Saccharomyces cerevisiae S288C: one gene and its partners. The protein of the gene in region 3 purifies or fractionates together with the protein of the main gene of each other region. This does not show direct contact. Each region holds a gene or a part of one and is shown on either strand. Other genes may lie near its edges. The genes, in order: ENO1, ENO2 and TDH3.

What was found.
Region 1: the proteins of TDH3 (region 3) and ENO1 purify together in Saccharomyces cerevisiae (affinity purification with western blotting; 2 studies listed by BioGRID, with this or other methods). This does not show direct contact.
Region 2: the proteins of TDH3 (region 3) and ENO2 purify together in Saccharomyces cerevisiae (affinity purification with mass spectrometry; 2 studies listed by BioGRID, with this or other methods). This does not show direct contact.

What each region holds. Positions count from the first base shown.
Region 1 is NC_001139.9:998,933-1,002,740, reverse strand, and holds ENO1 (phosphopyruvate hydratase ENO1), read right to left. Parts: upstream 1,815-3,808; coding exon 501-1,814; downstream 1-500. Other genes in the region: putative N,N-dimethylaniline monooxygenase COQ6, read left to right, coding at 1-218; PUP2 (proteasome core particle subunit alpha 5), read left to right, coding at 3,601-3,808.
Region 2 is NC_001140.6:449,413-460,588, forward strand, and holds ENO2 (phosphopyruvate hydratase ENO2), read left to right. Parts: upstream 1-1,914; coding exon 1,915-3,228; downstream 3,229-11,176. Other genes in the region: gamma-tubulin-complex subunit SPC97, read left to right, coding at 1-1,394; YHR173C (uncharacterized protein), read right to left, coding at 1,403-1,741; CTR2 (low-affinity Cu transporter), read left to right, coding at 3,460-4,029; YHR175W-A (uncharacterized protein), read left to right, coding at 4,146-4,295; FMO1 (N,N-dimethylaniline monooxygenase), read left to right, coding at 4,817-6,115; ROF1 (Rof1p), read left to right, coding at 7,179-8,540; STB5 (Stb5p), read left to right, coding at 9,887-11,176.
Region 3 is NC_001139.9:882,289-893,152, reverse strand, and holds TDH3 (glyceraldehyde-3-phosphate dehydrogenase (phosphorylating) TDH3), read left to right. Parts: upstream 1-9,342; coding exon 9,343-10,341; downstream 10,342-10,864. Other genes in the region: SNG1 (Sng1p), read left to right, coding at 1-656; FYV8 (Fyv8p), read left to right, coding at 967-3,420; exosome non-catalytic core subunit SKI6, read right to left, coding at 3,531-4,271; XKS1 (xylulokinase), read left to right, coding at 5,278-7,080; PDX1 (Pdx1p), read left to right, coding at 7,412-8,644. UniProt on the Saccharomyces cerevisiae protein: Glyceraldehyde-3-phosphate dehydrogenase (GAPDH) involved in glycolysis and gluconeogenesis. Catalyzes the reaction of glyceraldehyde-3-phosphate to 1,3 bis-phosphoglycerate.

The DNA of each region.
Region 1 (3,808 bases), 120 kb from region 3:
GTTTAGACATTGGCTCTTCATTGAGCTTAGAACCCTTTTGGGCAGAAAGATATCCGTCGAACAACGTTCTATTAGGAATGGCGGATAAATTATTTAAATTATATCACACTAATTTTCCTCCTGTGGTAGCCCTAAGAACTTTTGGTTTGAATCTGACGAATAAGATCGGTCCAGTTAAGAATATGATCATTGACACATTAGGAGGAAATGAGAAATGAGAGGTATGTAAATAGAAATAGACTAGCTCCACTTTTAAGAATTATTTATGCAATTAAATACATGGGTGACCAAAAGAGCGGGCGGATACACGCGTCACCACAAGCAGAATAAAAGGTAAACCTGAAATTGTTTTAACATAAAATGAAAAATGCTTGTTTGCAACCCTATATAGAATCATAAAACATTCGTGACTATAAAATGAATAAACTAAACTATTCTAAGAAAATGAAATAAATGACAAAAAAACGTGTTTTTTGGACTAGAAGGCTTAATCAAAAGCTTTATAATTTGTCACCGTGGTGGAAGTTTTCACCAGCGAAAACAGCGTTGTCACCTAATTCTTCTTCGATTCTCAACAATTGGTTCAATTTAGCCAATCTTTCGGATCTAGCTGGAGCACCAGTCTTGATTTGACCAGTTCTCAAACCGACGACCAAGTCAGCAATGAAAGTGTCTTCAGTTTCACCAGATCTGTGGGAAACCATAACACCCCAACCGGCAGCGAAAGAGTCTTGAGCAGCCTTGATGGATTCAGACAAGGTACCGATTTGGTTGACCTTCAACAACAAAGCGTCGGCAGCCTTCTTTTCGATAGCGGTAGCAATTCTCTTTGGGTTGGTGACAGTCAAGTCATCAGCAACAATTTGAATACCAGCGGTCTTGAAGAAGTGAGACCAAGCTTCCCAGTCATCTTCAGCAAATGGATCTTCGATGGAGACAATTGGGTATCTCTTCATCAAGGAGTGGTACAAGTCAGCCAATTGAGGACCAGTCAACCACTTGGATTTGTCAGAGTTTGGATTCTTGAAGTCCAAGTCGTACTTACCGTCCTTGAAGAATTCAGAGGAAGCACAGTCCAAACCGATCTTGATCTTACCGTCGTGACCAGCAGCCTTGATAGCGTCAACAATCAAGTCCAAAGCTTCTTCAGCAGTTTGAATGTTTGGAGCAACACCACCTTCGTCACCGACGTTACCGGCAGAAGCACCGTATCTCTTCTTGGTCAAAGACTTCAAGTTGTGGTAAACTTCGGAACCAATTCTCAAAGCTTCAGCGAAGGTCTTAGCACCAGTTGGAGCAATCATAAATTCTTGCAAAGCCAAAGCACCACCAGCGTGGGAACCACCGTTCAAAACGTTCAAGAATGGAACTGGCAAAACGTATGGAGAGGTCTTGGACTTAGACAAGTCAGCCAAGTGCTTGTATAATGGGACATTCTTTTCAGCAGCGGCAGCTCTGGAAGCAGCCAAAGAAACACCCAAGATAGCGTTAGCACCCAACTTGGATTTGTTGGCAGTACCGTCCAAAGAAATCAAGAAGTCATCGACGGCCTTTTGGTCCTTAACATCAATGTTAGCCTTAACGAAAGCTGGAGCAATGACATCGTTGACGTTCTTAACAGCGTGCAAAACACCCTTACCCATCCACTTGGATTTGTCACCATCTCTCATTTCCAAAGCTTCGTGGACACCGGTAGAAGCACCAGATGGGACAATGGATCTGAAAACACCCTTTTCGGTGGTTAATTCGACTTCGACGGTTGGGTTACCACGGGAGTCGTAGACGGATCTAGCGTAAACTTTAGAGACAGCCATTTTGATTTAGTGTTTGTGTGTTGATAAGCAGTTGCTTGGTTTTTTATGAAAAATAGCTAGAAGGAATAAGGGATTACAAGAGAGATGTTACAAGAAAGAAGTAAAATAAATTTGATTAATATTGCCATTATCAAAAGCTATTTATATGTTGAAATCGTGGAGATCATGTGTGCCAGAAAAGGCCACAGTTTCCGGGGAGAGGCATACCTTGAGGTGGCTAGGAATCACGGAGACCTCTTGACTTGCAGGGTAGGCTAGCTAGAATTAAGTGAGGTGACAAGGTTTCCATACAGTTTTGACCTTGAGACGTTGCTACTTACGATTTGCAGTATGCAAGTCTCATGCTGCAAACAAAAGAGGACCGCTCAGGTAATCGCTCAATTAGTGGACGTTATCAGGGGCGGGAGAGGCGAAAGTGGTTTTTGGTGGTGTAAGTAAAGGTCGTCCAAATATGCAGGTGTTTGGGTGCTATCCTAGTGGAAGCTCGGATCAGTAGATAACCCGCCTAGAAGCGGTATTTTTCTTTTTTTTTCTTCCTTCTTTTTCGTCATTATTTCAAACGCTTTTGCGTCAAGTAATGAATATCTGGCGGTTCCGCGGTAATGCGACAATTTGTGATATGCACTCTTAAAACCCCGCCACGATGATCGCACGTGCCGGCATTTATAGACGACTTTTCTGGTTGTCCCGCTTCACGGCACATGCATGCATCAATGACCGAATTCAGGTTGCTACTAACCATTGTGTTGTGTTATTGCTGTGCATGAGGTGCTCAAGTGCCCGCGGCATCTGACTAGTGGTAACTCTAGACGGCTTCGATGCAGAGAGTTCCTCAAAATTTTTCTTTTCAATTGTTTGCCTGGTTTCCGCGGCGTATATCAGTTTTTGGCGATATGGTAACGCGATACTCTACGGCACCTTCACGGTAGATGTCTTTTTTAAAAGTGACTGTTAATTCCAGGATTGAAAGGAAGTGTCGAATAGTATAGTATGCTTTCTACACTTATAGTACACTACTAGGTGTATCAGATCAATTGGCCCTTGATAAAAAGCGCTGAGGAAGGAAGGATTCCTATTTTGACATAGCTTTCAATATAGGGCCATTTATATCCATGTTATATATACAATATACTTATGTGTCAATTATTAGAATTGTTGAAGACATTTGTAGGTGAGAAAGTTTCTTGTTTGTCGAGAAGAATTTGAGTCATAATCTTTATATCAAATAACTCTGGATAAGTGCTGTGCATTTCAATAACATGTTGTAATTACTATATATTAATGAAGATAAAAGCTCAGGTTCATCGCATGTGGCGCTATAATGCTTTTTATTTGATAATGTTCCACTTGTATTTTTTTTTTTTTTTAAAAAAATTATCTTTTTTTATAAAGTATGTGAGAAAGAAATAACAAAACATGAACTTTTTTCAAGAATAATGTAGCCCAAAAAGTAAAAAAGGACACTTTTGCAACTACTGCTGAAGACTTTTTACTGAAATGAATTGACTATCAAACATATTATAAGCCAAGCATAGATGAAAGTACGCCGATTTTTTATTAAGCGTGCAAACATGAATGTAGCCCAAGTCCGTAAGGATAATTTAGTGCTTAAATTAAATAAATCACTATTCACGAAAATATTTTTGAAATTTCATTATACAGGGTTATCATAAACCAAGACCGGTGGCAAAAGAGTAACCTAGGAAATTGGACAAGAGAGCGCTATAACTATAGAATACAAGTCAATAAGAACATAAATTCCAATTGTCTAATATAACTAGAAAGGATGTTCTTAACTAGAAGTGAATATGATCGTGGTGTAAGCACATTTTCCCCAGAAGGGAGGTTATTCCAAGTTGAGTATTCTTTGGAGGCCATCAAATTAGGATCTACAGCAATTGGTATTGCCACGAAAGAAGGTGTTGTACTAGGTGTGGAGAAACGTGCCACCTCACCACTATTAGAATCTGATTCTATTGAGAAAATCGTGGAGA
Region 2 (11,176 bases), on a different chromosome or scaffold from region 3:
GCTTACAAATACCCACCATACCTTCTAATAGCAGTGATATAACCATTCAAGAAATCAATGATTTCGCTGACTTAATGGAGGGTTCTAATCTTGAACTTTACGTGGATAAATGTTACAGCAGAGCCAATGAAATATTTTTAAAGCTATTTTTTCAAGGTTACGATTTGATCAATGTATTAAAACATTTGCAACAAATTTTTCTTGGGTATCAATCTGGTCATAATGTTTTAAAGTTTCTAACAAAAAATATGGGTGAGTTGACCAAACACTACAGGAATGATAATAATGCAAACTATGACAAGCTGCTACAAAATTTTGAGTTAGAGAGACAATCCGAAAATCCAAACAACCTGATGAGGCAACTCCTGATGATACAGTTCGATACAGAAACACTTCCACAAGTCTTATCGCACTACCTCCAAATTTATCCAGAAGTACCTGAGAATAACTCAGCAAATGACGACAGCGACCCATTGATGCACGCGAATAATTTCAAGAATATGAATGCCATTCTTTTTGATGAATTAAGCAAAGAACGAACGGGAGCCTACCATGGATCCAATCTAGAACTATATACTCCAAAAAGCGCAATTTATCATTTAAAATTTGACATCAACATACCTTATCCATTGAATATTATTATTAGTAGGACATGCATGATAAAATACCAAATAATCCTGCGCTACCAACTAGTTTTACAATACCACTCAAGGCTTTTGGATGAGACTTGGATGGACTTAAACAAAACACCCAGCTGGAAATACAGAGGCTATTCGCACACTGTGAAGAGGAGGATAGTAAGGGCAACGAGAGTGCTGCATGCTAAGATGAACCACTTCATTAAAACCATCATGGAATATTTCAACCAAAACGTAATTGATAAAGAGGTATACTCATTAGAAAAGTGCTACAGAAATCCTACTCTTGCCGTTGCCATCCAAAATGAGCTAGAAGGTGGATTAACAAATATAATGACAAATCGTTGCTTGTCTGACTTGATTCCACTACAGTTACAAATATTTGACATTGTATATAAGTTTTGCAAGTTCATCAAATCTATGAGAGCAAAATTATGTCAACTGGACCCCGTACTATATGAGAAACACAAAAGCGGGATGATGAAAACACTAAACGAAGGCTATCGTACAAACAATGGCGGTCAGGAAGATGTTGGTTACCAAGAAGATGCCGCCCTGGAATTAATTCAGAAGCTGATTGAATACATTAGCAACGCGTCCAGCATTTTTCGGAAGTGTCTCATAAACTTTACTCAAGAGTTAAGTACTGAAAAATTCGACTTTTATGATAGTTCAAGTGTCGACGCTGCGGGTATAGAAAGGGTTCTTTACTCTATAGTACCTCCTCGCTCAGCATCTGCTTCTTCCCAAAGATGAACGCGGCGTTATGTCACTAACGACGTGCACCAACTTGCGGAAAGTGGAATCCCGTTCCAAAACTGGCATCCACTAATTGATACATCTACACACCGCACGCCTTTTTTCTGAAGCCCACTTTCGTGGACTTTGCCATATGCAAAATTCATGAAGTGTGATACCAAGTCAGCATACACCTCACTAGGGTAGTTTCTTTGGTTGTATTGATCATTTGGTTCATCGTGGTTCATTAATTTTTTTTCTCCATTGCTTTCTGGCTTTGATCTTACTATCATTTGGATTTTTGTCGAAGGTTGTAGAATTGTATGTGACAAGTGGCACCAAGCATATATAAAAAAAAAAAGCATTATCTTCCTACCAGAGTTGATTGTTAAAAACGTATTTATAGCAAACGCAATTGTAATTAATTCTTATTTTGTATCTTTTCTTCCCTTGTCTCAATCTTTTATTTTTATTTTATTTTTCTTTTCTTAGTTTCTTTCATAACACCAAGCAACTAATACTATAACATACAATAATAATGGCTGTCTCTAAAGTTTACGCTAGATCCGTCTACGACTCCCGTGGTAACCCAACCGTCGAAGTCGAATTAACCACCGAAAAGGGTGTTTTCAGATCCATTGTTCCATCTGGTGCCTCCACCGGTGTCCACGAAGCTTTGGAAATGAGAGATGAAGACAAATCCAAGTGGATGGGTAAGGGTGTTATGAACGCTGTCAACAACGTCAACAACGTCATTGCTGCTGCTTTCGTCAAGGCCAACCTAGATGTTAAGGACCAAAAGGCCGTCGATGACTTCTTGTTGTCTTTGGATGGTACCGCCAACAAGTCCAAGTTGGGTGCTAACGCTATCTTGGGTGTCTCCATGGCCGCTGCTAGAGCCGCTGCTGCTGAAAAGAACGTCCCATTGTACCAACATTTGGCTGACTTGTCTAAGTCCAAGACCTCTCCATACGTTTTGCCAGTTCCATTCTTGAACGTTTTGAACGGTGGTTCCCACGCTGGTGGTGCTTTGGCTTTGCAAGAATTCATGATTGCTCCAACTGGTGCTAAGACCTTCGCTGAAGCCATGAGAATTGGTTCCGAAGTTTACCACAACTTGAAGTCTTTGACCAAGAAGAGATACGGTGCTTCTGCCGGTAACGTCGGTGACGAAGGTGGTGTTGCTCCAAACATTCAAACCGCTGAAGAAGCTTTGGACTTGATTGTTGACGCTATCAAGGCTGCTGGTCACGACGGTAAGGTCAAGATCGGTTTGGACTGTGCTTCCTCTGAATTCTTCAAGGACGGTAAGTACGACTTGGACTTCAAGAACCCAGAATCTGACAAATCCAAGTGGTTGACTGGTGTCGAATTAGCTGACATGTACCACTCCTTGATGAAGAGATACCCAATTGTCTCCATCGAAGATCCATTTGCTGAAGATGACTGGGAAGCTTGGTCTCACTTCTTCAAGACCGCTGGTATCCAAATTGTTGCTGATGACTTGACTGTCACCAACCCAGCTAGAATTGCTACCGCCATCGAAAAGAAGGCTGCTGACGCTTTGTTGTTGAAGGTTAACCAAATCGGTACCTTGTCTGAATCCATCAAGGCTGCTCAAGACTCTTTCGCTGCCAACTGGGGTGTTATGGTTTCCCACAGATCTGGTGAAACTGAAGACACTTTCATTGCTGACTTGGTTGTCGGTTTGAGAACTGGTCAAATCAAGACTGGTGCTCCAGCTAGATCCGAAAGATTGGCTAAGTTGAACCAATTGTTGAGAATCGAAGAAGAATTGGGTGACAAGGCTGTCTACGCCGGTGAAAACTTCCACCACGGTGACAAGTTGTAAAGTGCTTTTAACTAAGAATTATTAGTCTTTTCTGCTTATTTTTTCATCATAGTTTAGAACACTTTATATTAACGAATAGTTTATGAATCTATTTAGGTTTAAAAATTGATACAGTTTTATAAGTTACTTTTTCAAAGACTCGTGCTGTCTATTGCATAATGCACTGGAAGGGGAAAAAAAAGGTGCACACGCGTGGCTTTTTCTTGAATTTGCAGTTTGAAAAATAACTACATGGATGATAAGAAAACATGGAGTACAGTCACTTTGAGAACCTTCAATCAGCTGGTAACGTCTTCGTTAATTGGATACTCAAAAAAGATGGATAGCATGAATCACAAGATGGAAGGAAATGCGGGCCACGACCACAGTGATATGCATATGGGAGATGGAGATGATACCTGTTCGATGAATATGCTATTTTCGTGGTCATACAAGAATACGTGTGTCGTCTTTGAATGGTGGCATATCAAGACCCTGCCTGGACTGATTTTAAGTTGTTTAGCAATTTTTGGTCTAGCCTACCTCTATGAGTACTTAAAGTACTGTGTCCATAAGAGACAATTATCCCAGAGAGTATTGTTACCAAATAGATCTCTGACCAAGATCAACCAAGCCGACAAAGTGTCCAATAGTATTCTATATGGTTTGCAAGTGGGATTCTCATTCATGCTCATGCTTGTATTCATGACTTATAATGGTTGGTTAATGTTAGCTGTCGTGTGTGGGGCAATATGGGGTAATTACAGCTGGTGTACTTCGTATAGTCCTGAGATAGATGACAGCTCCCTCGCCTGCCATTAAGATGGTGACAAATATTACAAATTTGATACTATTTGTATCTATTTTGTTTTTATCCGGGATTTTTCGTATTTCTTCCTCATTCATACCCTTCCCTTTATTTGTTCCCACTGAGTATAATGATAAACTACGTTAACATTACATGTATAATATTTAGCACTCGTACGTTACTAGTCTTTGACACAAGTTTATATATCCCCCCCTTTATGTTATCGTTTATTGGCTACAGCCTCAGTAATCAAAATAGTCCACTATTTCTATATCATTAACTTCTGCGTCGCCAAGATGTTAATCATGAAACGATCTAGTTCTTCAACAGTTTGCCAGCGACCATTCGAGCTAATCTTGAACAAAAGTAATACTATTTAAGGGTGGGCGCGGGTTGTTATACCGTTTTGAGACGATCTACTATAACGTTATATTTAATTATATAAGTGATGAATTTAATGTCCCGTCCACAACACGAAATCGCACCTCATTTCAACGCGGCAAGTATTAATGTTCTGCTTTATGAAAGATTCCATGAACCCTTTTCTACCTTTTAAATTCCTCTTTTCACTCTTAATCACATGATATTACCTTTACATAGGAAGCGCCAGACATCTTTTTGCCGAGAAAAGCCATTATGCAAGATAATCCTGTAGCCTCATATCAAGGATAAATGCCACTGCAAAAACGCAGTCGTTATTTGGGACTGTATTTAAATGGGCCACTGTTTTTATACAAGTCGAAAATACAATAATACAGAAAATTCAAGCAGGAAGCGAGAAATAACAAGAAGTAACTAGGCATGACAGTGAATGACAAAAAAAGATTGGCAATCATAGGTGGGGGGCCAGGAGGGTTGGCAGCTGCAAGAGTTTTCTCGCAAAGTCTTCCAAATTTTGAAATAGAAATATTTGTAAAGGATTACGATATTGGCGGTGTCTGGCATTATCCAGAACAAAAAAGTGATGGGAGGGTCATGTATGACCATTTGGAAACCAATATATCAAAGAAGTTAATGCAGTTTAGCGGCTTTCCCTTCGAGGAAAACGTCCCTTTATATCCGTCTCGAAGAAACATTTGGGAATACTTGAAAGCCTATTACAAAACGTTCATTGCCAACAAAGATGCTATCAGCATCCATTTCAGCACCGAAGTTACCTACTTAAAGAAGAAGAACTCTCAATGGGAGATAACATCTAAAGACGAACTAAGGACTACTAAATCGGATTTTGACTTCGTTATTGTTGCGTCTGGTCACTACAGTGTCCCTAAACTACCAACTAATATCGCAGGTCTCGATCTATGGTTCGACAATAAGGGCGCCTTTCATTCTAAGGATTTCAAAAACTGCGAGTTTGCCCGTGAAAAAGTCGTTATTGTGGTGGGAAACGGCAGTTCCGGCCAAGATATTGCCAACCAACTAACTACCGTTGCAAAGAAAGTATATAATAGTATAAAAGAGCCTGCGAGCAATCAACTGAAGGCCAAGTTAATCGAGACTGTCCAAACAATAGACAGTGCCGATTGGAAAAATCGTTCAGTTACTTTATCTGATGGAAGAGTACTTCAGAATATAGACTACATTATTTTCGCCACAGGCTATTATTACAGCTTTCCATTTATAGAGCCCTCCGTTAGACTGGAAGTGCTAGGTGAGGGTGTTACTGGCGACAAGCACTCGTCTGTCAATCTGCACAATTTGTGGGAGCACATGATCTATGTAAAAGATCCTACGCTGTCCTTTATCTTGACCCCGCAGTTGGTCATCCCGTTCCCGTTGTCGGAACTACAGGCGGCTATTATGGTCGAAGTATTCTGTAAAAGCTTACCGATAACTACAACTTTCGACTCTAATGCCTGCGGAACGCACAACTTCCCAAAGGGAAAGGACCTGGAATACTATGCAGAACTACAGGAACTACTGAATAGCATTCCACGTAGGGTCGGTCATTTCGAACCAGTTGTATGGGATGATAGACTGATCGATCTAAGAAACAGTAGTTATACAGACAAAGAAGAAAGAAATGTGCTTCTAGCGGAACACGCACAAGCCCTAAAGAAAAAAAAAGCACCATACTTCCTTCCGGCGCCACATACTTAACGTAAAAAGGAATGTACTTGTATAGAAAAAACACATATTGTGCCGCTTAATATTTCGTTTCCCTCATGTATATACCTTATCGCTGTTAAAATAAGAAATCTTCACTTCTGCTATCTTTTTTTTTCAAACATTGATTAATAATCCGGCCGTCCGCAGATTGCTTACGCAGAATATACCGTACCGCCACCGTAAAATTAACGAATACTTAAATTTCCGCCTCTTCCGTTTCGGCAATAGCGAACCTTAATGTAAGTTTTTAAAAGGCAGCGCCAAAAATTGCTCTGAAAGGCCTGCAGTGCTTCGCGGCTACGCAGTTCCCATGTAAAAAAAAAAGAAAACTTTCTTTTTGAATCTGGAAAATCCGCACAGGCGCGCCAGCATAAACCTCAGTATCCTGCAAAGGCCATCCTTTTAAAGATCTTAACAACGTATGAATCTGAGGCAGAGAGAAATTAAGCGATAAACGTTCCTTTTAGACTTTCACTTTCTTGGCCGTCATTTAAAAAAAAATTATCTAATAATCTCTAATTTTAAGTTGAAATCACGCTAACATATGACTATGACTATTAACCTTTTTATGTGGAAAAAAAAGGAAGAATATGTTGTAAACGTATTTTAGCCTTGTTCCCGGAACTTTAATCACTCTGGCAACTTTTTAAGTAGTCTGTCTTTTTCTCGGTCGTATATTCCTCAAAATTCAAGAGGAAAGAGGAAGTGAAGAAGAAAGCCTAGAAAAAAAAAATAGGCATTAACACAAAAACGCACCTAAGGGACTGAGGAAAATCAAAAAAATGATAATTGCAGTTAGTAAATCTTCATAATCGACGCCCACTTATTCTTTCTTTATAGTACCGGGTAGGCGGGTAATTCATACGTAGCTGCTGCGGGAGAACTACTATGTATCATTCCCTGTTTATTTGTATGAATTATTATTTAATACGTACATTCTTGTAAGCCCTTCTTCAACAAAACAAACAAATAAAGCGAGAAAAAAGGGAACCACGAATTAAGATAATTAATCAAACAATAGATAGGAAAAGGAGATCGACGAGTAAGCGTAAGAATGATGGATATCAGCCCTACCTGTTATGGGTACATCGACGACGAGCAAGATCTAGCCCTTGTTTTCCAGGGCGTATTCAATGGAAATTTGAGATGCATCGAACGGAGGCCATATGATGCAGAAAAGGTTGAATTAGTCAACCCCGGAAACATTTTTGTTTTCAACGAAGAGAAATCCGGCATCAAAAGATGGACAGATGGTTTTTCTTGGTCTCCTTCAAGAATTTCAGGCAAATTTCTCGTATATAGAGAGTATAATAGGCTGGGTTCCACGCACGATCTACCGCTGCATAATGTACCTGAGTATAATATCTTCGAGAGGGCTCATAGGAAGTATTTTTATACTGGACTACTGAAAAAAACATTTTCTCTAAAATTCAATATGGATCCCACCGACAGCACTAAGCTGGAAACATTTCATCTTATTGCGTACTATACGGAAAAGGATATTCATCAAGGAAGTTTGAGGAGACCTTCAGAAAATCCTTTCTTCCATAAATTTCGACCTTCACAGAAACTATTAGATGCTTTACAAAAAGTTGCTGTAGGAAATGGCAGATCTAACCCGTCTAAAAATAATGAGAGAGGCAGAACCAAAGCTCATAATTATAAAACGCGCAGGTCTTTATCATCTTCTCCGAGCTATTGTGATCTCTTGAGCAATTATAACAACCATCCTGGAAATATTCCAGTTAGGACCGCAGTTCAGTTACCTTTAACCACCTTCAATAACGCTCCTCGAGAAATGCACCAACAGCAGCACCGACAACAGCAACAATATCTCTTACCCATAGATGAACAGAATAAATTACCTCTCCCGTATATGCAGCACCAGCCACAACCAATTGGTGTTTACAATCCTAACTATCAGCCTGGATTGAGACGTACGGTCTCACAACCTATGATTTTCTGCAATACATACAATACTCTCCCGCAACAACCTACTGCAGCACCTTATGAACGGCGTGGCGTGTCGCCTTCAGTGATATACTCCTCCAATACATTGAGCCCAATACCATACCAAAATATCGATCCATACTCTTCGAGGTCGGGTCCTGAATGCAATCACTCTAAGGCGCCTATCGCCCCAACAATGATGCCCCCAGTACACCATATACTTGTGCATGATTACCGACAACCAAAACCAGTCACAGATTCTATTAATCCTCCAAATGTAAACATAACCACCTCCACAACCAACAAGAACCTAGATGGCATTTATATTTTGCCAGCTCCTCGTATGAATCCCCCGGCTCAAACACAATACCAAATGATTCATGCGCCAGACAGCATGCAACATCCACCAACATTTAGTAAAAACAACACATCAAGCAATCCTAAATCCCACCAATACTCAAAGTAGAAGATCAGCATCCTTTCAATTGCTGAAAGGTTCACCTAAAGTACCGCTCATATTCCAAAAGGATTCTTCACTACATAGAAAGGGCAGCCAATTGTGTGTTTTTCAGAAAGGGTTTTAAAAAAACAGGAGGGTGCTTGTTCTTGTTGTTCCCTACCATCGATGGATTTCGAAAAACTATTTATAGGACCATCTGATTTTCACCTCCATCATTGTATCATATACTAACAAGCATATCCAAATTTGTAATTCTATCATGAAATTTCCAGAGAAAGAAACGCAAGGGAACTGAGAAATCAAACCTAAAAACGGTTCTTGGCATTGTTATGAAAAATGAATAAACCAGGGGGGCAAAACAATCGAGAACCCCAATCAAAACCATGTGAGATACCCACTTCGAAAGTTACTGATATTATAACTCTTGTGTCCTCTCTTCTAATACCTTACTTTCACCTTTCTCACGTAGTTAAAGTTGCAACAACACATTTTGTCCTCATCCAATTTCTTCTATAGAATATCCGTTTGCCTCCAGGAGTGAAGAAATGATAGCAGTAACACTGTGAAAGCGAGACTAAGAGAAACGACTTAAAGCTCGAAGACTTCTTGAGGATACGTTTATGTTTCTGTGGCTTCTTCTTCGCGGCGCGGTTCTCGCGTATAGGAATGTTCTAAGACAAGAAGGCATGAAGTTATGTTAACAGATTCTATATCTACTCGCTACGCATATATAAACGGATTCATCATTGAAACAATGGTACTTGTGGTAATGTGTACGACGATTTCAACCCGAATAAAAGCAAAAGTGCAAAAAAAAAACAAGAAGCGCTTAGCACTGTTGAATCATTTAGAACACTACTAATGCTGGTAATACACTCAAGAATGAAGAGTGGCTTACTCCATTGTTGATGCAAAAGTTGTAAATTTCACGAATTATTTAATGCGTTCCTTGCAACCTTCTATTTTGATGAACATCAGGAATTGAAACAAAAAAAAGGCTTCAATCTCAACGGAAAACGGGAAGAAAACTACACTCGATTATACTATATATGCCAAGAAGATTCTCCGACAGATTGTCTACTTAATTTCACATAATATATCTTGTTTTACTAGCTTATTATATAGCGTCGCATTTAATTCATGGCGCCATCACCCGCAGGGAATATAACGACAAGGCCGATACCACGGGAAAAATAGGGCGAGCGGAAATACTAAAAGAAAAATAAGCTTCCGAAATAAAACACCGACAATGAAGTTCTTGGCAAGGTTCGGTTATTTCCTCTACGTAACAAGAGGTATAATATCCGAGCGTACAGGGCTAAAAAATTAATACAAAGGTGTAAAAGAAGGACATGGATGGTCCCAATTTTGCACATCAAGGCGGGAGATCACAACGTACTACTGAATTGTATTCGTGCGCACGATGCAGAAAATTAAAGAAGAAGTGTGGTAAACAAATACCGACATGTGCAAACTGCGATAAAAATGGGGCACACTGTTCATATCCAGGTAGAGCCCCAAGACGTACCAAGAAGGAGTTAGCGGATGCTATGCTACGAGGGGAATATGTTCCAGTGAAAAGGAACAAGAAGGTAGGAAAAAGCCCATTGAGCACTAAGAGCATGCCAAACTCTTCTAGTCCGCTATCCGCAAATGGCGCTATAACTCCCGGGTTTTCGCCTTACGAAAACGATGATGCACATAAGATGAAACAGCTAAAACCGTCAGATCCAATAAATCTTGTCATGGGGGCAAGTCCAAATTCTAGCGAAGGTGTCTCATCGCTAATTTCGGTGCTAACATCGCTGAATGATAATTCTAATCCTTCTTCGCACTTATCCTCTAATGAAAATTCCATGATTCCTTCCCGATCATTGCCAGCTTCCGTGCAGCAAAGTTCGACAACTTCATCATTCGGAGGATATAACACGCCTTCACCACTAATTAGCAGTCATGTGCCTGCGAACGCCCAAGCCGTACCGCTACAAAACAACAATCGCAATACTAGCAACGGGGATAACGGCAGTAATGTTAACCACGATAATAACAATGGCAGTACCAACACACCGCAATTGAGTCTTACCCCATATGCAAACAATTCAGCCCCCAATGGGAAATTCGATTCTGTGCCGGTTGATGCATCCTCGATCGAATTTGAAACTATGTCCTGTTGCTTTAAAGGTGGTAGAACAACATCGTGGGTCAGAGAGGATGGCTCGTTCAAGTCAATTGATAGATCCTTACTGGACAGGTTCATTGCCGCATACTTCAAACACAATCACCGTCTATTTCCCATGATTGATAAAATAGCATTCCTAAATGACGCCGCGACAATTACTGATTTCGAAAGGTTATATGACAACAAAAACTACCCTGACAGCTTTGTTTTCAAAGTATACATGATCATGGCTATTGGTTGTACAACTTTACAGCGTGCTGGTATGGTTTCTCAGGACGAAGAGTGTCTGAGTGAACATTTGGCTTTTTTGGCCATGAAAAAATTTCGTAGTGTTATAATTTTACAAGATATCGAAACTGTACGATGCCTATTGTTGTTGGGTATTTATTCGTTTTTTGAGCCAAAGGGCTCCTCGTCATGGACAATTAGTGGTATCATCATGCGATTGACCATAGGATTAGGT
Region 3 (10,864 bases):
GTATTTTGTTAACCGTTTTACAACTGTCATTATATGGTAAGTTGCACGGAGAAATGGCCAGAGTTCTGAAGCCAAAGCATATTTTAATCTACAGGCTTCTAATTTCCTGGGCAACTTATTTTCTTCTTTCCATTGGATTCTGTACCGTATCTGCAATTTTTAGGATCGATTTCACCCCCGCCTTTGGCAGAGGAGGATTCGTAGTATATTGGATGTCTACGTGGTTGGTAATGATGGCTGTTGGTGGTGCCAATGAAAACGTTCTCAGCTTAGTTATAGCTTACTGCCCTCCATACCTGAGTATTTGGTTGATGACGTGGATCATATTAAATATTTCTGCTTCATTCTACCCAATGGTTTTGAACAACGAATTTTACAGGTACGGCTACATAATGCCAATCCATAATGCCGTGGATATCTATAAAGTGATTTTTTTGAATTTAACCAAAAGAAAAATGGGAAGAAATTACGGTATTCTCGTGGCATGGGTTGCCCTCAATACATCCTTGATGCCATTTTGTATGAAGTTTGCAGGTAAAAAAATGCAAAAAAATGCTATGCAAGCAGCAGAAGCCGCTGTCGCAGCAGCTACCCAGCGTGCTAGCCGCCCGGCAGAGGCCAATACTGATAAAAATAACAACCCGCCCGGAAATTAATGGGTAGGGTTAATAGCTTATTCATATATACACTTAATACGATTAAAAATTATTTATATTCTCATCATCATAAGATGAAGATGCAAATATCACAACAATTATATAACGTCGTTTGTTTGTTTGGTGACACATTAGTGTTTCATTCCGGGTAGCTATTTTGTTTTTCTCATGCCAAGAATTCTGTAAGGCACTTAAAAGTATTCCTAAATACCACTTTCATACATGGTTAACAAGGTAAACACAAAACTTGCATTATAGTTAAAAGGGACTGTTTGATCATTACCCTTTTTCTGGAAAGCGGATATTTATTATGAGCACTGAACAGGTCGGTAGAAAGAAATCGTATAGATGGGTTAGCGCATCTCAAGCAAGTTATGACGGCGCTGGATGGGACAGTAGTGACGAATATGACTACTCTTCCGAGGATGGCACAAAAGGTTCAGAAATTCACAAGCAAAAAATATCTAATTTGCCTAGTTTACCCAAGCTCAATTATACAGATGTTAATGGTGAGCATGATGAAAATACGGGTGAAAATAAAGACAGCAATGATAATAACGTCAGTAAGAGTGATATTAGTCCTAGTGACAAGGAAGTAGGCTATCTCTCAGATGGGGTGCCTAAACTTATGGCTTCAAGAGAGTCTGTGGAATTACAAGCGAAAAAATCCAGCGAGCACTCCAAATCAGATTATCTTTCGTCGACAGCATCTTTGAAAAGTCCAAGTGAAAACAAAAAATCACCACATACAAATAGGGCTGTAAACGAAGACCTAGACAATTTGATAGAGCAAATATCAAGGGAGATGACACCAGAAATTAGGCAAACATCTGATTTTCGGCGTGATTCAGACAGTTGTGACGAAATCCAAAACGAAGCACCATTAGGGGAAGCGGTACCCTCTTCATCATCTCCTGTAGAAGAAGATGAAAAATCACATTCCTTAGGGGTTTCAATGGATACTAATGAAGCTGATACCACTTTCAATACGCCAACAAGGAATGGAAATGAACATTTGAGTAGTGATGGCGATGTTTCTGAGCAGAAAGACGACGAGTTTAAAGTTTCCGAAAGAGGCTACCTTGCAGATATTCTGCCTGCGGAGAAAGAGGAGAATTTACAACAAGAAGATGATGGTGAAGTCGAGAGCTCAGGAGCTTTGGAAAAGAAAGAAAAAAGTGAAGAAAAGACTAGTATTAGGAATAGGAACTCTACATCTAGTGGGCAAGATAAAGTAGCAAAGCCGAAACCCGTAGCAAATGAAACAAAAACTAGTGATAATGGATATCGAAATTCTTTTTTCAATGATTATCAGCATTCGTCAGACTCTGAAGAAGATGATAACAACGAAGGCAACAGTGGTAGTAGTGATGATGATAATCGATCTTCGGTTAGTGATAAACATGCTGATATTAACCGGCAATCGAAACAACTTGATACAACTGACGATGATGCATTGTCGTATACCGAATCAATAAAATATTCGACAAATGAGACAGAAGAAGAAGATAATGAAGATAATGAATCCATAGAAGACAAAAACGAAGATAATGAATCCATAGAAGACGAAAATGAAGATACAGATAGCTATAAATTTTCTAATAGGGAAAAAGGTTCCATTCTACTTACGAGTGATGAAGAGGAGGAGGAAAAAGGTATGAGCTCTGATTCAGATGAAGGCAGTCTCAAGGCGCCCAAATCAGGTTATTTCTCCAAAATGATTGGTAATGATGATAAAGGTGATTCAGCATTGCAACCTAATCAAATAGACACCATTGAAAATACCAATTTGTCAAATAGCGGTTCTGAATTGGAAAACAGCGATGGCAGCGATGAGGAAGACCACATAAATGAAGACAAAGTTTTGGAAGAAAGTTCAGTTAAAGACTCCACTGATGTTGATTCTTGGAAGCCGGACAGTGAGGCCTTACGATCAGGGTTCGTACAGGATACAGCCAATAAGAAAGCGCCACCAGGTTACGTGATCGATTCTAACGGGAAGCTAGTAGATTTAACACCTGCTAGTATGAAACCACGTGTTGTATCGACTTATTCAGAGATGGAGAGTACTTGGGATGCATTCCCTTCCAAAGGCGAAGATGACGATTTGGAGACAATCAGGGACACTAAGACTATATACGACAACAATACGATTTATAATGTTCCCGGTTTGATTGGTAACCAATCGAATTTGCCACCTCTACCGATGGACGCACAGGAACAATTAAATGCAGGAAACGATAATAGTACAACAGATAATGATAATAGTAACAATACTGCCAATGATTTGGCAGCGCGCAGTGCATCTTTCAAAAGTGAAAACAGAACAGTATCTCAAGGCGAAATGACAAGCGTCCATGAACCCAGTACTGAAGAAATGGCGAAATTGGGGCAGCAGAATAACTTACCGAAATTAGATATGAATAAACTACTGAACAGTAAGACTTCGCACGCCGGTAAGATAGAACAGTTGAGAAATTATAAGCGTGAGCTAGATGAATATGATACGGGGATACAAACATGGATAAATTATACGCTAAAATCATCCTCTAATAAGGATAAGGATTTCATAGCTGAGGAGTATAAGCAGCATAGTCACGTTAGGGAAGCATATGCGAACGCGGACGATTTGAGTAAGAAGCATACTGTCATTAACACGGTTGCTAGTGTCAACCAAAATGTAACGCACTTAAGGAGAAAAGTTTTCCAGCATTCTATGAAACCAAAGGATTTATTCGCATCAATAGGTAAGAAAAAACTGTAAGCGTTTTGCTTTACGGTAGAAACACGAAAATGTAAATGCGTTCAATTTTCAATTTTACTGTTTTTTATGTACTTTTATATAAACAGTGGCAATTAATGGCGTTTTTTATTCTACCTAGCAGAGGCGTTACTGACTCTTTTCTGAGCATGTTTCCTCAGTTCTTCATCCATCAAATCTCTTACCCTATGAGCACCTGCGATGCCGATGGCAAGAACGTTCTCTAACCTATCTAACGGAATTTTGTCTTCCACCAATAAAAGAGAAAGTTTTTCTGACTTCCCTACCACACCTAGTGTCACTGTACTCATAGCATTTTCTTCTAATGAATTGGTATCTAATAATGGGGTAGTATCGTACAGCCCGACGGATATACCACTTATGTAATCGAACATTGATATACCGGCATCTATTAAAGCGAGGGTAATACCGTTGATTAAAGATCCCATAATACCGCCATCTTGCTCAAGGACATGGATCTCGATATCGATAACTGTTCTGGGGTAGATATTCAGCATGACATTCTTCTCAAACATCCTCACCAGGGAGGTTTGTATCTCAAGAACACGCCTTTCATTCTTGTGGCTTGATTTACTTCTTTCGAATTTGGAGAATTTTGTAATGTTTACCGATACGTTCAATAAAGCCTTTGAGGTATCCATTTGAGATTTCAATCTTGGCTCTTTTGGACCTTTAACAAGAGTGATAATTTTGTTGTTACCTTGTTCCATGTAGGATGAACCGTCTGCAGCGTGCGGATGTGTGTTGATGGAACTTTCAAAACGGCGGAGTTCATTCCATCGACGTCCATCGAGACGTAGCCCTTCTGGCGAGTATATTTCTAGTCTTGACATATGATGATCCTGCTGTAGTTATGGCACTAAAGTTTTTTTGTAAATCTTTTTATATGTTAATAGATTTTACCAGTGGGACCCTGGAAAGAAAATATGTGTAAATGATGTTTTCTTTTGGATGATGTTCATTGCACAATGGTTCGCAATGTCATTCATTCATCCATTTCTTCTAGCTTTTCAATTATTAATGCCTTAAAATTTTTCAATTTCACCGCGTTACCCGAAGATGTAAATGTACCTACTCAAATAAAAGGTTCCTTGCTGGTTGGCTTTCGTAGCTAAATTGAGTGCACGTTACAAGATTATAAATGCGTTTATATATATATATTCCAGTGAATGATCTACTTTTGCTTAAGCGGCAGAATTGCAAATCTTAATTTTTCTTTTTTGTTTATGTTTTATTTCCTTGTGACAAATAAAATTTTTTTCTCTTCTGAATTTTTAAAACTAAAGAACAAAATATTAAAATAAACAAACAATTCTCCACTTTTTCTTCTTTTGGTATAGAAACTGATAGAAATGTCCTAGACCCTTAATAAGCAAAACACTCATCATTATAACGGGAAAAAATTTGAAGCAAGCTCAAAAGAGATATATATATCATCCAGCATAGACTACTATTAATTTCTATCATAATTGCAATAAAAAAGGAAATATTTAGGGGATCAAGACCATTATTCCATCAGAATGGAAAAAAGTTTAAAAGATCACGGAGATTTTGTTCTTCTGAGCTTCTGCTGTCCTTGAAAACAAATTATTCCGCTGGCCGCCCCAAACAAAAACAACCCCGATTTAATAACATTGTCACAGTATTAGAAATTTTCTTTTTACAAATTACCATTTCCAGCTTACTACTTCCTATAATCCTCAATCTTCAGCAAGCGACGCAGGGAATAGCCGCTGAGGTGCATAACTGTCACTTTTCAATTCGGCCAATGCAATCTCAGGCGGACGAATAAGGGGGCCCTCTCGAGAAAAACAAAAGGAGGATGAGATTAGTACTTTAATGTTGTGTTCAGTAATTCAGAGACAGACAAGAGAGGTTTCCAACACAATGTCTTTAGACTCATACTATCTTGGGTTTGATCTTTCGACCCAACAACTGAAATGTCTCGCCATTAACCAGGACCTAAAAATTGTCCATTCAGAAACAGTGGAATTTGAAAAGGATCTTCCGCATTATCACACAAAGAAGGGTGTCTATATACACGGCGACACTATCGAATGTCCCGTAGCCATGTGGTTAGAGGCTCTAGATCTGGTTCTCTCGAAATATCGCGAGGCTAAATTTCCATTGAACAAAGTTATGGCCGTCTCAGGGTCCTGCCAGCAGCACGGGTCTGTCTACTGGTCCTCCCAAGCCGAATCTCTGTTAGAGCAATTGAATAAGAAACCGGAAAAAGATTTATTGCACTACGTGAGCTCTGTAGCATTTGCAAGGCAAACCGCCCCCAATTGGCAAGACCACAGTACTGCAAAGCAATGTCAAGAGTTTGAAGAGTGCATAGGTGGGCCTGAAAAAATGGCTCAATTAACAGGGTCCAGAGCCCATTTTAGATTTACTGGTCCTCAAATTCTGAAAATTGCACAATTAGAACCAGAAGCTTACGAAAAAACAAAGACCATTTCTTTAGTGTCTAATTTTTTGACTTCTATCTTAGTGGGCCATCTTGTTGAATTAGAGGAGGCAGATGCCTGTGGTATGAACCTTTATGATATACGTGAAAGAAAATTCAGTGATGAGCTACTACATCTAATTGATAGTTCTTCTAAGGATAAAACTATCAGACAAAAATTAATGAGAGCACCCATGAAAAATTTGATAGCGGGTACCATCTGTAAATATTTTATTGAGAAGTACGGTTTCAATACAAACTGCAAGGTCTCTCCCATGACTGGGGATAATTTAGCCACTATATGTTCTTTACCCCTGCGGAAGAATGACGTTCTCGTTTCCCTAGGAACAAGTACTACAGTTCTTCTGGTCACCGATAAGTATCACCCCTCTCCGAACTATCATCTTTTCATTCATCCAACTCTGCCAAACCATTATATGGGTATGATTTGTTATTGTAATGGTTCTTTGGCAAGGGAGAGGATAAGAGACGAGTTAAACAAAGAACGGGAAAATAATTATGAGAAGACTAACGATTGGACTCTTTTTAATCAAGCTGTGCTAGATGACTCAGAAAGTAGTGAAAATGAATTAGGTGTATATTTTCCTCTGGGGGAGATCGTTCCTAGCGTAAAAGCCATAAACAAAAGGGTTATCTTCAATCCAAAAACGGGTATGATTGAAAGAGAGGTGGCCAAGTTCAAAGACAAGAGGCACGATGCCAAAAATATTGTAGAATCACAGGCTTTAAGTTGCAGGGTAAGAATATCTCCCCTGCTTTCGGATTCAAACGCAAGCTCACAACAGAGACTGAACGAAGATACAATCGTGAAGTTTGATTACGATGAATCTCCGCTGCGGGACTACCTAAATAAAAGGCCAGAAAGGACTTTTTTTGTAGGTGGGGCTTCTAAAAACGATGCTATTGTGAAGAAGTTTGCTCAAGTCATTGGTGCTACAAAGGGTAATTTTAGGCTAGAAACACCAAACTCATGTGCCCTTGGTGGTTGTTATAAGGCCATGTGGTCATTGTTATATGACTCTAATAAAATTGCAGTTCCTTTTGATAAATTTCTGAATGACAATTTTCCATGGCATGTAATGGAAAGCATATCCGATGTGGATAATGAAAATTGGGATCGCTATAATTCCAAGATTGTCCCCTTAAGCGAACTGGAAAAGACTCTCATCTAAAATATGTTTGAATAATTTATCATGCCCTGACAAGTACACACAAACACAGACACATAATATACATACATATATATATATCACCGTTATTATGCGTGCACATGACAATGCCCTTGTATGTTTCGTATACTGTAGCAAGTAGTCATCATTTTGTTCCCCGTTCGGAAAATGACAAAAAGTAAAATCAATAAATGAAGAGTAAAAAACAATTTATGAAAGGGTGAGCGACCAGCAACGAGAGAGACAAATCAAATTAGCGCTTTCCAGTGAGAATATAAGAGAGCATTGAAAGAGCTAGGTTATTGTTAAATCATCTCGAGGGAAAAATTCAAAAATGCTAAGTGCAATTTCCAAAGTCTCCACTTTAAAATCATGTACAAGATATTTAACCAAATGCAACTATCATGCATCAGCTAAATTACTTGCTGTAAAGACATTTTCAATGCCTGCAATGTCTCCTACTATGGAGAAAGGGGGGATTGTGTCTTGGAAATATAAAGTTGGCGAACCATTCAGCGCGGGCGATGTGATATTAGAAGTGGAAACAGATAAATCTCAAATTGATGTGGAAGCACTGGACGATGGTAAACTAGCTAAGATCCTGAAAGATGAAGGCTCTAAAGATGTTGATGTTGGTGAACCTATTGCTTATATTGCTGATGTTGATGATGATTTAGCTACTATAAAGTTACCCCAAGAGGCCAACACCGCAAATGCGAAATCTATTGAAATTAAGAAGCCATCCGCAGATAGTACTGAAGCAACACAACAACATTTAAAAAAAGCCACAGTTACACCAATAAAAACCGTTGACGGCAGCCAAGCCAATCTTGAACAGACGCTATTACCATCCGTGTCATTACTACTGGCTGAGAACAATATATCCAAACAAAAGGCTTTGAAGGAAATTGCGCCATCTGGTTCCAACGGTAGACTATTAAAGGGTGATGTGCTAGCATACCTAGGGAAAATACCACAAGATTCGGTTAACAAGGTAACAGAATTTATCAAGAAGAACGAACGTCTCGATTTATCGAACATTAAACCTATACAGCTCAAACCAAAAATAGCCGAGCAAGCTCAAACAAAAGCTGCCGACAAGCCAAAGATTACTCCTGTAGAATTTGAAGAGCAATTAGTGTTCCATGCTCCCGCCTCTATTCCGTTTGACAAACTGAGTGAATCATTGAACTCTTTCATGAAAGAAGCTTACCAGTTCTCACACGGAACACCACTAATGGACACAAATTCGAAATACTTTGACCCTATTTTCGAGGACCTTGTCACCTTGAGCCCAAGAGAGCCAAGATTTAAATTTTCCTATGACTTGATGCAAATTCCCAAAGCTAATAACATGCAAGACACGTACGGTCAAGAAGACATATTTGACCTCTTAACAGGTTCAGACGCGACTGCCTCATCAGTAAGACCCGTTGAAAAGAACTTACCTGAAAAAAACGAATATATACTAGCGTTGAATGTTAGCGTCAACAACAAGAAGTTTAATGACGCGGAGGCCAAGGCAAAAAGATTCCTTGATTACGTAAGGGAGTTAGAATCATTTTGAATAAAAAACACGCTTTTTCAGTTCGAGTTTATCATTATCAATACTGCCATTTCAAAGAATACGTAAATAATTAATAGTAGTGATTTTCCTAACTTTATTTAGTCAAAAAATTAGCCTTTTAATTCTGCTGTAACCCGTACATGCCCAAAATAGGGGGCGGGTTACACAGAATATATAACATCGTAGGTGTCTGGGTGAACAGTTTATTCCTGGCATCCACTAAATATAATGGAGCCCGCTTTTTAAGCTGGCATCCAGAAAAAAAAAGAATCCCAGCACCAAAATATTGTTTTCTTCACCAACCATCAGTTCATAGGTCCATTCTCTTAGCGCAACTACAGAGAACAGGGGCACAAACAGGCAAAAAACGGGCACAACCTCAATGGAGTGATGCAACCTGCCTGGAGTAAATGATGACACAAGGCAATTGACCCACGCATGTATCTATCTCATTTTCTTACACCTTCTATTACCTTCTGCTCTCTCTGATTTGGAAAAAGCTGAAAAAAAAGGTTGAAACCAGTTCCCTGAAATTATTCCCCTACTTGACTAATAAGTATATAAAGACGGTAGGTATTGATTGTAATTCTGTAAATCTATTTCTTAAACTTCTTAAATTCTACTTTTATAGTTAGTCTTTTTTTTAGTTTTAAAACACCAAGAACTTAGTTTCGAATAAACACACATAAACAAACAAAATGGTTAGAGTTGCTATTAACGGTTTCGGTAGAATCGGTAGATTGGTCATGAGAATTGCTTTGTCTAGACCAAACGTCGAAGTTGTTGCTTTGAACGACCCATTCATCACCAACGACTACGCTGCTTACATGTTCAAGTACGACTCCACTCACGGTAGATACGCTGGTGAAGTTTCCCACGATGACAAGCACATCATTGTCGATGGTAAGAAGATTGCTACTTACCAAGAAAGAGACCCAGCTAACTTGCCATGGGGTTCTTCCAACGTTGACATCGCCATTGACTCCACTGGTGTTTTCAAGGAATTAGACACTGCTCAAAAGCACATTGACGCTGGTGCCAAGAAGGTTGTTATCACTGCTCCATCTTCCACCGCCCCAATGTTCGTCATGGGTGTTAACGAAGAAAAATACACTTCTGACTTGAAGATTGTTTCCAACGCTTCTTGTACCACCAACTGTTTGGCTCCATTGGCCAAGGTTATCAACGATGCTTTCGGTATTGAAGAAGGTTTGATGACCACTGTCCACTCTTTGACTGCTACTCAAAAGACTGTTGACGGTCCATCCCACAAGGACTGGAGAGGTGGTAGAACCGCTTCCGGTAACATCATCCCATCCTCCACCGGTGCTGCTAAGGCTGTCGGTAAGGTCTTGCCAGAATTGCAAGGTAAGTTGACCGGTATGGCTTTCAGAGTCCCAACCGTCGATGTCTCCGTTGTTGACTTGACTGTCAAGTTGAACAAGGAAACCACCTACGATGAAATCAAGAAGGTTGTTAAGGCTGCCGCTGAAGGTAAGTTGAAGGGTGTTTTGGGTTACACCGAAGACGCTGTTGTCTCCTCTGACTTCTTGGGTGACTCTCACTCTTCCATCTTCGATGCTTCCGCTGGTATCCAATTGTCTCCAAAGTTCGTCAAGTTGGTCTCCTGGTACGACAACGAATACGGTTACTCTACCAGAGTTGTCGACTTGGTTGAACACGTTGCCAAGGCTTAAGTGAATTTACTTTAAATCTTGCATTTAAATAAATTTTCTTTTTATAGCTTTATGACTTAGTTTCAATTTATATACTATTTTAATGACATTTTCGATTCATTGATTGAAAGCTTTGTGTTTTTTCTTGATGCGCTATTGCATTGTTCTTGTCTTTTTCGCCACATGTAATATCTGTAGTAGATACCTGATACATTGTGGATGCTGAGTGAAATTTTAGTTAATAATGGAGGCGCTCTTAATAATTTTGGGGATATTGGCTTTTTTTTTTAAAGTTTACAAATGAATTTTTTCCGCCAGGATAACGATTCTGAAGTTACTCTTAGCGTTCCTATCGGTACAGCCATCAAATCATGCCTATAAATCATGCCTATATTTGCGTGCAGTCAGTATCATCTACATGAAAAAAACTCCCGCAATTTCTTATAGAATACGTTGAAAATTAAATGTACGCGCCAAGATAAGATAACATATATCTAGATGCAGTAATATACACAGATTCCCGCGGACGTGGGAAGGAAAAAAT